4 linked regions of the Saccharomyces cerevisiae S288C genome follow. The main gene of each other region encodes a partner of the protein of the gene in region 2 in a complex. Each region holds a gene or a part of one and is shown on either strand. Other genes may lie near its edges.

Evidence for each region.
Region 1: RPL21A (region 2) and RPP2B share a complex: the UniProt entries of both Saccharomyces cerevisiae proteins name them as parts of the large ribosomal subunit.
Region 3: RPL21A (region 2) and RPL9B share a complex: the UniProt entries of both Saccharomyces cerevisiae proteins name them as parts of the large ribosomal subunit.
Region 4: RPL21A (region 2) and RPP1B share a complex: the UniProt entries of both Saccharomyces cerevisiae proteins name them as parts of the large ribosomal subunit.

What each region holds. Positions count from the first base shown.
Region 1 is NC_001136.10:1,237,728-1,240,366, reverse strand, and holds RPP2B (ribosomal protein P2 RPP2B), read right to left. Parts: upstream 876-2,639; coding exon 543-875; downstream 1-542. Other genes in the region: NKP1 (Nkp1p), read left to right, coding at 1-407; COI1 (Coi1p), read left to right, coding at 1,517-1,542, 1,737-2,055; RNA-binding protein YRA1, read right to left, coding at 2,363-2,639. UniProt on the Saccharomyces cerevisiae protein: Component of the ribosome, a large ribonucleoprotein complex responsible for the synthesis of proteins in the cell.
Region 2 is NC_001134.8:604,519-607,656, forward strand, and holds RPL21A (60S ribosomal protein eL21 RPL21A), read left to right. Parts: upstream 1-1,751; coding exon 1,752-1,762; intron 1,763-2,150; coding exon 2,151-2,622; downstream 2,623-3,138. Other genes in the region: 40S ribosomal protein uS4 RPS9B, read left to right, coding at 410-990; RIM2 (Rim2p), read left to right, coding at 3,134-3,138. UniProt on the Saccharomyces cerevisiae protein: Component of the ribosome, a large ribonucleoprotein complex responsible for the synthesis of proteins in the cell.
Region 3 is NC_001146.8:498,026-500,785, reverse strand, and holds RPL9B (60S ribosomal protein uL6 RPL9B), read right to left. Parts: upstream 1,106-2,760; coding exon 530-1,105; downstream 1-529. Other genes in the region: YNL067W-B (uncharacterized protein), read right to left, coding at 1,229-1,369; forkhead family transcription factor FKH2, read left to right, coding at 2,497-2,760. UniProt on the Saccharomyces cerevisiae protein: Component of the ribosome, a large ribonucleoprotein complex responsible for the synthesis of proteins in the cell.
Region 4 is NC_001136.10:227,909-231,032, reverse strand, and holds RPP1B (ribosomal protein P1 RPP1B), read right to left. Parts: upstream 1,128-3,124; coding exon 1,014-1,127; intron 713-1,013; coding exon 506-712; downstream 1-505. Other genes in the region: YDL129W (uncharacterized protein), read right to left, coding at 1-9; STF1 (ATPase-binding protein), read right to left, coding at 1,602-1,862; homocitrate synthase LYS21, read right to left, coding at 2,318-3,124. UniProt on the Saccharomyces cerevisiae protein: Component of the ribosome, a large ribonucleoprotein complex responsible for the synthesis of proteins in the cell.

The sequences.
Region 1 (2,639 bases), on a different chromosome or scaffold from region 2:
AACCTCAGAGTACATCGATAGAGAGATTAATTGAAGATGTGTTGAAGCTGCCGCAGATGGAAGTAGCAGACGAAGAGGAAGTTGAAGTGGAAAATGATCTCAAAGTTCTAAGCGAGTATAGTAATTTAAGGAAAGATTTAATACTGAAATGTCAGGCTCTCCAAATAGGCGAAAGTAAATTATCAGATATTCTGAGCCAAACAAATTCTATAAATTCTTTAACAACTTCCATTAAAGAAGCTTCTGAAGATGATGATATCAGCGAGTACTTCGCCACTTACAATGGGAAACTAGTAGTTGCGTTGGAAGAAATGAAGCTATTATTGGAAGAGGCCGTGAAAACATTTGGCAATTCTCCGGAAAAGAGAGAAAAAATAAAAAAAATCCTAAGCGAGTTAAAGAAGTAATACTATTTTCAATTAATTGTCTATATAGAATCTTATACAGTAATTAATTATTTTTAAATCACAATGGAATCGAGGATTTACACCAGATTTTGTAAAATGAAGGAAAACAAGAAAATTGTTTATTAATTAAATTCCTTAATCGAATAAACCAAAACCCATGTCATCATCAGATTCTTCCTTAGCTTCTTCTTCCTTTTCTTCTTCAGCAGCATCACCACCGGCAGCAGCACCGGCAGCACCGGCAGCAGCAGAAGAAGCACCACCAGTTGGAACAGTAGCGAACTTCTTTTGACCTTCAGCGATGATTTCTTCCAAAGAGCCCTTACCTTCCAAAGAGGACAACAATTCGTTGATTCTGGCTTCATCGACTTCAGCACCGACAGATTCGACGACGGCCTTGATGTCAGCGGCGGATGGGGCAGCGTTACCACCTTGAACCAATAATAAGTAAGCAGCTAAGTATTTCATTTCTGTTGTTGATTAATAGATATTACTTTCTATATTTGAAATAATCAGTTTAAGCGGTAATAAATTCGCGGACTATTCCTTAACGATCTGTAACTGGAAGTTAAATCAAAGATACGTAAAGTAATAGTTTAGAGTAAGTCCAAATATCATCTCTTAAATGAAAAATTTCAGATACCGAGAAAATTTGGAAAAAGAAAATTATTACAATTTTTCTGCTTGGTAACTTTACACGATCCATACTGTAATTTTCGCATTACCTGCGTAATGACTAGAATGGGCACGTGATCATAAAATTAGAGACGACAAGAGCTCTCCAGTATTCTTAAACGGTAGCCCTTGGTTGTGATACAGCCACATGAACAGATTCCCACTGCAGCCTTTTTTGTTGGGTTCGAATAGACAAGATAAATAAGAGCAGTTACACTATATAATATATATATATATATATATATATATATATTACATTACTGACCTCAAAGCATCACAAATGTGTCGCTTCCTTCTTCGCCTTTTAGTTGAAGACATCCTTTTCAATCTTCCTCCTTACAAACCCGAGCGTCCTGCTTGCATATAAAAAAATCAAGGCAGATGAAGAGATAAATATAGTAATATTTCATTCTTTGAGCCGTACTAAGTATACAATGTCAAATCCATTTCAAAATATAGGGTATGTGTAAAAGAAATAGGGAAACATCTATTCGTAAAGCCTAAACTAACATTGGATATCTTTTTCTATTTCCCGGACTTCTTTTTTGGTTATTTCCTTATTGGCCTATCCCTTGAAGCAGAGTTTGATTGCACCATATATATAACCAAAGTGAAGACGAAAGTAGGAAAACACTACCAATGCGATTTCAACAGTAAGAATTTACTATACATTTCTGCAGCCGGGATTGCGTCTATTTATGTGGTCAAGACCATAGTGAAAGCTAGAAGAGATGCTAAATTTATACCAAAGGCGCGGGGAAACAATGGTGAAGTGAATGAAAAAAACTATTATGATAACCTTGCTCAAGTCAAACCAGGGTTCCCCATACCTAAAGATGGAGGAGACAACATTGATTGCTCTGAGGACCATCAATTAGTAAGAAAGAGTAAATATGAAGGTAGCGGGCTTAGTGCTGTAACAAGAAAAAGAGGTGACAAATTAGGTTTTTTAGATAGGAGGAGAAACGAGTAACACACGTTTAATCAACCTATCCATTTTTTCAATGCAGTATTATGTATATATATATTCATCGCACTGTAAATAGTGACATATTATGAGTCAAATATGCCGAATAAACTTTAAAAGTGAGAAAAGCCGTCACCGATGAGTAGGTTAGCGTCACCTAGTGGCGGTGGTAAATATTATTACATAAACATATCAAAGTTTTATTAATACATTTTTTAATCCTTTAAATTTTCTGGAAACTAATACATAATGAAACTCGGAAAAATTAAATTTAATAAAACCAAATTAAATCAAACAAAAAATTGACAATTAATTATTTCTTTTCGAAATAGTCCGCCATTTCCTTGTCCAGATCTTCAAGACTTTTCTTAGCAGGCTTTTCTCTCTTTGGTTTGTTTTGGGATTTTGCCATAGCAGCTTTTCTATTTGGACCCCTCTTTACTGGTCTTGGAGCGTTTCCGCCTTTTTGTGGCATAGCCTTGATCCTGTCGGCTAAACTTTTGACTGGGCGTTGGTTTGGATCAACGATTAGGTTAAGTCTCAATCTTGATCTGCCTCCATCGATTGGAGAGCCGTTAAATCTTTCAACA
Region 2 (3,138 bases):
GTATTAGACTATATCGAAGAGGAGGGAAATTCTTCACTCTGACTCGTTGATTTTGAAAGAGGTTCGGGTCCTCATAAATATTTGAGAATATGAAATTCCATAATAGTATACCTTCATTGAGTAGCACGACAACAGCCTGAATTACTATCCATATTATGAATATCTTTATTTACACTGAACTCCCGACACTTCAGTTAAACAGGGATACATTAGAGATCAAGGTGATCTAATAGGGAACATCTCTCTCGTAACAATGGGACAGTATTTTATTTTCCAAGGCGGATACCTAATTATGCGTTTTTAATCATATCTCTACAATATTTATGAGCACTTACTTGGGCCCTTGCAGACTTTTGTTCCGGGAAAACTTTTGACTAACAAGAATCCAATTTTACTTTTTTTTTTTTAGGAGCTCCAAGAACTTACTCTAAGACTTACTCTACACCAAAGAGACCTTACGAATCTTCTCGTTTGGACGCAGAATTGAAGTTGGCCGGTGAATTCGGTTTGAAGAACAAGAGAGAAATTTACAGAATTTCTTTCCAATTGTCTAAAATTCGTCGTGCTGCCAGAGACTTGTTAACTAGAGACGAAAAGGACCCAAAGAGATTGTTCGAAGGTAATGCCTTGATCAGAAGATTGGTTAGAGTTGGTGTCTTGTCCGAAGACAAGAAGAAGTTGGATTATGTTTTGGCTTTGAAGGTTGAAGATTTCTTGGAAAGAAGATTGCAAACTCAAGTCTACAAGTTGGGTTTGGCCAAGTCTGTCCACCACGCCAGAGTTTTAATCACTCAAAGACACATTGCTGTTGGTAAGCAAATCGTCAACATCCCATCTTTCATGGTCAGATTGGACTCTGAAAAGCACATTGACTTCGCTCCAACTTCTCCATTCGGTGGTGCTAGACCAGGTAGAGTTGCTAGAAGAAACGCTGCTAGAAAGGCTGAAGCTTCCGGTGAAGCTGCTGAAGAAGCCGAAGACGAAGAATAAATAATTCGCTGATTTCATAACTGTATAATAAATTTTATAACTTTTCAAATCACGGATCATTTTTCATTTTACTTTGTCATTTTTATTTCATTTGAAAATGGGTAGAGGTACATAACTGGCGCTTTTCTTGCAAGATGACATGGCATTGGATGACACAAGTATTACTCAATACCCAACGTAAATAGCTAGAAGATTTTGATCGGATTTAAATTCCCAACTGCAACTCAGTAGCGTTTAGGATTTTACACCTTGGCTTGGAGAAATCCTTATTGTCAGAAATTGAAGCCGTTAATATTTAAAGGCTAATTCTCCATGCCATCTTGCATTCACTTTGGTATATATCTCTTGACCTCAATATATCTCGATAATATAAATCGCAATATTATACTTGTTAGTCTGACAGTTTTACACCTGTACATCTTCACCATCACCACACCCTTTTTTACTGGAGGCAAGGATGAGTTTGAATATCGCCTTTTTCCCAGCCGCTAGAACATGCTCAGAACCGAGGAAAAGCACCGCTGCCAAACCTCCTTTGATGTGTTGGCCCACCGCTACTAGTGGCCGTGCTGGAAGCCCAGGCAGCGGTGGGGGCCACAATACGAGAGCTGGAAAGGTAAACGGTCTCTGCGCCTCTGTGAAATTTTATCACCAATGGAGTGTCATGTCTGGTAAAGATAATATAGAAAGTAGTGTGCAATTTCAGGCATTACCGATTGAACTTTGGAATAAGAGAACCAAGACAAAAATAACTAGCAACAATGGGTAAATCGTATGTCATTTAATCCTATGAATCTACAGCACGAACGAATCATGGTATCTCAAACCGAACATATCGTCACAGAAATAAAAAGATTTAAAGACGTGTCTAGTGTGAATAAAGCAAACATATCATTAGAGCAAAATATTGGGCAGATAAGATGATGCTACACTGATTCTGAGAAAATTACGTGACATGATAGGCTTTTAACGGGCTGTAAGTCATTAGTTTACAGTCGTTGCTTTGAAAATTAGTTCAACATTAGAAGTGTAGTAATTACAAGCCCTTTTTCCAAACATTCGGTTATGTGCTGGGACGCATCTCAGAAACTCGCAAAACAATAGAATACTAACATGATTTCTTATAAATCTTAATTTTGATTTATTTCCTTATAATACAGACACGGTTACAGATCTCGTACTCGTTACATGTTCCAACGTGACTTCAGAAAGCATGGTGCCGTCCATCTTTCTACTTACTTGAAGGTCTACAAGGTTGGTGACATTGTCGACATCAAAGCCAATGGTTCTATCCAAAAGGGTATGCCACACAAGTTTTACCAAGGTAAGACCGGTGTTGTCTACAACGTTACTAAGTCTTCTGTTGGTGTTATCATCAACAAGATGGTCGGTAACAGATATCTAGAAAAAAGATTAAACTTAAGAGTTGAACACATCAAGCACTCCAAGTGTAGACAAGAATTTTTGGAAAGAGTTAAGGCCAATGCTGCTAAGCGTGCTGAAGCTAAGGCTCAAGGTGTTGCTGTTCAATTGAAGAGACAACCAGCTCAACCAAGAGAATCCCGTATCGTTTCTACTGAAGGTAACGTTCCTCAAACTTTGGCCCCAGTTCCATACGAAACTTTCATCTAATTTACCCGATGCTGGTTTTGTATCGAAAAAGATTTTCAGGTTTTAGGTTTTATTTTTTGTCTATTTTTAAATATATAATATAATAAAAAATAAATTGTGTCTAATATCCATAATTTGTACATTTAGATTATTTCTTTTGGTTCTTTATTCTGACCTATATAGACTACTCAACACAGTCACTTCATGTCATCCAGATATTACTTGCGTTGAGCATCTCTTTTGAATCCTCGCTTCGGGCTCTCTCTTAGTGAAAAATTAACCTTACGCCAAAATCCAAGAAGTAAAATTAAAAAGAATAATGGTAAAAGTCTAACTTCACATAGAGAATTCAACTTTGTATAAAGGGGTAGCCTTGTTCTCTATAGAAACTGTTCTTTGAAGTACTGCTAACTGAGGTAAAAAAATCGGACGATTTTGTCTTTACGTGGTCCTATATTTATTGTGTCAAAGTCACCTACTTACTTACATAGTTGACCATTCTCATATCCCATAATTTTTCAAGGAGATAAAGATGCC
Region 3 (2,760 bases), on a different chromosome or scaffold from region 2:
TCCTATAAAAAAAAACGTTGTCGTTTACGTCCTAATAGAGAAAAGAGATGCTTCTGTTCAGTTTAACCAGTATTAAACCAGCATATATGTCGGGTAACCATATTTTTATGTTTTCATTTCGAAACTTGCTGGTACACCCAGATATCATTTTGATTTAAAGCAATAGCCGAAGAACAAGAGAAAGCTACGGGTATGATTGCAAGACTCAAGAAAAAAGAAAATCATTTGTAACGTATTAGAGAATATTTATTTTTTAGTGTTTCTTTCCTTTACCAAAAAATATGCAATTAGCATCAATAGAAGAAAAAACAAAAGCAATTTGAGAAAACGTAAAGTGGCTCTTTATTTCAATGAGCACTAGCAACGTTTCCCCTTGACAGCATTCCCTAGAGAGCCTGTCAATTCATCATTGGAAGTGAGGCACATCCAATGACAAAGAACCTCAGTCTTTACATAATACTAAATAAAAAAGTAGGAATAATGTACATATTTAAGCGCCTCTAAGCGCAAAGACACTTTTTTGTTCCATTTACATGTCTTCGACAATGAAACCCTTGTGGGAAACGTAGATACCATCCAAAAACTTACGGATATCCTTGTTTCTAACACGACAGATTTGTTGCAAGTCAGCGGCATTTTGGGAAACGTCTTCAACAGAGTTACCAGATAAGACGATTTCGTCCTTTACGTTAGTAGAGAATTCGATAGTAACACCATCTCTAACTGGGACGTTTCTGATCTTCTTGTCACCCAAAAAGTTTCTGACTTCAATGAATTTAGCACCATCCTTTTCAACAATGTTGACGTTGATTGGGAAATGCGCGTAGACGTATCTCATCTTGTACTTGTAACCCTTGGTGACACCAGTGATCATGTTGTCAACCAAAGATTTAACGGTTCTCAAAGCGGCAACGTGCTTTCTGTCACCGTTGTGAACAGCAACCTTGATCAATTGGTTGTTGACCTTGGTGAAGGTAACATCAATATGCTTCAAGTTCTTGGTCAAAGTACCTCTTGGACCGACAACCTTGACGATTCTGGACTTAATGCTGACAGTAACACCTTCTGGGATTTCAATTTGTTGTTCGGTTTGAATGTACTTCATCTTTAGTGACTATTGGAGGCTAGAGTTTGGTTTATTGTCGTTTCAGAGAGAGAAAATGAACTATTTCAAAAAGAGAATAGGTAAAGGGAAAGGAAATAGAAATATGGTTGGTAATTTTTTTTTTCATGTTTGCCGTCCGTTTAAATAATTTTCACTTTTCCTGTGCGTCGCTTTAAAAAAAAATTCACTAGAAGAAAAAAAAAAATTCCCAGTTAATAGTGCAGTCTTGGAAACAACACCAGTGCACCACATGAGTTTACACATCAGATGCAAACGGGATCGTACATTCGTAACATTGATGCTTGTATACGTCTCTCCTATAGTTCCTGGCAAGCACAACGTGTGACACAGAAGAAATGGCAATGCTAAACATGAAAATAGATTTTCTTGGCTGTAAGTAAATCGATTGCAAAATTGGTTCCTACCGCTACGATATCACACACTTGTCTTCTTAAAAGAGGAGCAGTAAATCCAAAATTTGCCTGGCATCAATAGTCGTCTTAAAAATGTCTAGAGGAACTACCTCTGTTATCTCTTCTTTTTGTTACTGACATACTAATTAATTTTTACATAATTGCTGTCCTCCTTCCCCTTCTATTTGCGAATTAGAAGTGATGAAAAAAGAGCTAAACATAAAGAAAAAAAACTTCCTTCGGCTGGTCCAAAAGGGTCCAATAGCAGAAAGTAAAAAGCTATTTTGAAACTATAGAACCTCAAGAACATTAACATTTGAGTCGGATCATGTCAACTGTAAGAACTGAATATTAATTCAACATATTTTAATAATTTGTGTCATATGTATCTTGCAACAGGCTTTCAAAAATTTGCTGCCTGTTGGGTACAGGCTGTTTTTTATTGATTACGCTTTATGCTTATCCCTTAAGCTGCAACATTTTGATGGCCTCTTCTTCCTGTCTCTTTCTGTGCCATATAATCGTTCCCTTAGCATTGATGATGACTTATGCCGGACCCCGCCCCAGAACCCTTCGCACAACATTACCGAAAATCTTCGATTTCGCTCATTAAAAGAGGGAAAAAAAATTCGCTCGCCCTGTGCCATTTGGATTTTCTAGGTAAATTAGTAAATAAAGAAAAAAAATGCCAATGGTTCCGCATTTCTAAAGGTAAACAAAAAAGTGACATTCATAGGATCACTATATTTCTGTAAAACTTAAAACACTATAGAGCAGTCCTTTTCCACTGAATTGAACCGCTCAATAATCAAGATCATACTAAGGAACAAAAGGCTAAAAACACTTCAAAGCCAATCTTCCCGATTCCCTCGCATAAGTGATCATTGCTAGAAAAAAAAAAAAAAAACAGTACGATACACATAAATATTGGTGTGCTCCCTCCGTTTCCTTTATTGAAACTTTATCAATGCGCAAGAAATGTCCAGCAGCAATTTTAACGAGATGAACGAACTAAATATGACTCAAACAAATTATGGCAGCACAAAATATACCGCTCAGCATCATCAAGGTGTAATAAATGCCATCATCTCTTCACTGACAGCCCCAGATCAGCCAACTACCGTATCATTACAATATTCCAACGACAAGAACATGGCGACGGAAATACAAGCTTATGCTAAACTCTCCGGACCAAACTGGACCTATTATGTGAAGGATTTGGAAGTTTCTATTGGTAGAAAT
Region 4 (3,124 bases), on a different chromosome or scaffold from region 2:
TAGCTCCATAGCCAACAAAATGTTAAATTCCTGTATGCCGTAGCCTTGCCCGCGTTTCGTATCAAAAGGGATGAGAAACTAAAGTGCTCAAATTTTATACGTTTCTAGTGCCTTATAGGTGTATTGCTAAGCCTGTAAGGACCGACGTATGTCCAACTTAGGGAGCTTTACATGTGTCAAAGAACCTTTCATTCCCGATGAGTAAAAATTTTAAAAATGTGCGCGGGAGAAGCTTCGGTCGGCGTCGCCATCAAAGGGCGAGCAACCATGGGTTTATGTAATTTTTGGTTGCTATGGTGACGACAGGTCTGATATCCCGCAACCAGGGGCTATCCCGCAGTGCCATTTCTAGCAAAGAACGAGATGGTTAAATTCTCGTAGCCCTTTCGTATGGACATTACTTCCGATTTTTAAATACTGATTGATTAGAGGTTTATTTTATATGTAAATATATATACATAAAGGGTAAAAAAACGTTGCAGAAAAAATGACTTTCCTTGTATGTTTAGTCGAATAAACCGAAACCCATGTCGTCGTCAGATTCTTCAGCAGCTTCTTCTTCTTTTTCTTCTTCAGCAGCAGCGTCACCACCAGCAGCGGCAGCGCCAGAAGCAGCACCAGCACCAGCAACAGGGCCAGCGTTATGGAAACCAGATAGGATTTCCTTCAAGTCCTTACCTTCCAAAGCCTTAGCGTAAACATCAGCCCAGACCTAATTCAATGATACATATAACAAGCTCCATAGGAAGAGTCGTTATTCGTTGAGTTTGTTAGTAAAATGAGATCCTTGAAGAAGTAATTCGATCCTGACTTGTGCTTTCCGTTAAATACGTTAATGGAGAAATATTTCTACATGTATTGCCCCCTAGTATCTCATCATGTTAGAGGGAAACGTTACATGGAATTTTTCTGTCCCCCATTATTCAAAATTGCGCATTTCTCGGGACGATTGTTGTCTAATCTTTCTCTTCGTAGTCACACAAAGTCGTTTTAGGTTGCATTTTTGTACATACGTTGTCGACATTAGCACCAGCGGCCTTGGTGATAGTCAATAAGTTGTCAGAGGTGATTTCCAAACCAGCATCAGCTAGGATGAAAGCAGCAAAGGAAATAATAGAGTCAGACATTTTCTTCTTAGTTGTTTGATTTCTTTGTTAGTCCAAGATTAACTGAAACTGCAATTCGTAATTTAACCTTGAAATATCACGAAGGGGCTTACAGATTCAACATCAAATGCTTATTTGGTATTACATTGGAAACTAGTTTTAGCAACCGTTAGCCGGAAGTTTCAATTCTAAGATTTCTCCTTCGCGCGACACGCAGAAATGAAAATTTTATTTTTTTTTGCGTTTCATATAATCCTTCTGATGTACGGATGTTTTGTGTAAGATATGTATGGGTTTAAAGGAATATCTGAGGAGCAAACTGAGGCGACGTTTCTCTAACTGACGGTGTTCCTGTATTCGTGACGTATATACTATATATAATGTGCAGGCTTATAAAATACCACTGATGTTCATTTCCTAATTTTGATTTGGCATGATTGCTTCTTTCTACGTACAAAACGTGTCTGCAGAACCTTTAGCCTTAACAATGACCAATCACTTTGAAAGGTTATTAATTTTGTTTTCTAAATTCTCTAATTTTTTCTTGTGTTCTTTTAGTTGTTCCTTCACATGTGCTAATTGTTCCCTCTCTTGTTGTCTGGCATAATAATCCTCTTTGGCACGTTCTCTCTTGATAAAGATATCTTGAGGATTACCAGGTCCGGCACCACCGAGAGGACCATCTGAATAAAAGCGAGAGGCAATTCTTAGGTTTACTGGCAGCCTGGTATTACGGGAAATGCAACGGTTTAACATATTGATAGCGTGTTTGGTTGGATGACTGGGTGAAAGTGCTTCTTAATATCTACAATGGAGAGCTCAATTTTCTTATGAACGACTGAACTAAATATAATAAATAATTCCCCAGCCGCCCCCTAAAAGATAATAATGATGCTTGAAATAGTTAGCAAATAGAAACCGATCATTTGACGTATATAGTGATCATTATCATAACGGAAATACTCCGTGAGAGTATAATAGCGTGGGGAATCGCACAGAGTCAATATTCATTGATCTCAATTAATTGATTAAAATACCCCGTCTTCAAGCTAGATGCAACCGCCTCAATTGAACATCGGAGTAGGAGAAAAAGCTTATTGAATAAAGTTGACGTAAATAGTAATTTTATTACGGTAATCGCCAGTACTTAAACACCTAATAACGCCCAGTATGTGTATGTTTGAAATATGTGTACTATATATATAATGAAACTATTTGGTGACCTTTGCCTTTTTAGAAACATGCCCATTGGAAATATCGATATTGTCGTCATCTGTACCCTTATTTACTGGTTTTAAAAGTGGGGTGCTCAATTCTGCATGGAAGTCCTTGATAATGGAGTCTACATCATCAATATTTAGCGGTCTGACATCACCCAGCTTCTTAATCTTAGCAGTAACTTCCTTGATTTGATCATCCGTCAAATTCAAGTTCAATTGGTCGACTCTTGATTTGATTGCATTCCAACCAGTTAGTCTGTTGGCGAAGTGGATATATCTCTTCATACCGAAATCGTGAGGGTCCAAGATTTCGTAGGTAGATGGGTTAGCCAAAATGGCCTTGGCATGGATACCTGCTTTATGTGTGAATGCACAGAACCCGGTGATAGGGTTGTTGAATGGAATGTTAACTTCCACAGCATCAGCGACCAGGTTTTCGATGTCTCTGATCTTGTGCAGCTTGTATTTAGATCTGACATAGTCTGGTGCGGCAACAATCATTCTTGCCATGAGCCCACCTAGAGGAGTGATACCGTTTCTTTCACCAATACCCAGTACACTGACGTCAATCAATCTGGCACCACCTTCCAAAGCAGTGTAGGCGTTTGCAATGGCACAACCGGTATCATTGTGGAAATGGCATTCGATGTCACATGAGACAACACTCTTCAAAGTTCTGATCAGTTCATATACTTGTCTTGGGTTGGCACATCCAACTGTGTCGGCAATACCGACTCTATTTACACCGATCTTGTCAACGGTTTTATAAATGTTCAAAAGATCAACGAGATCACTTCT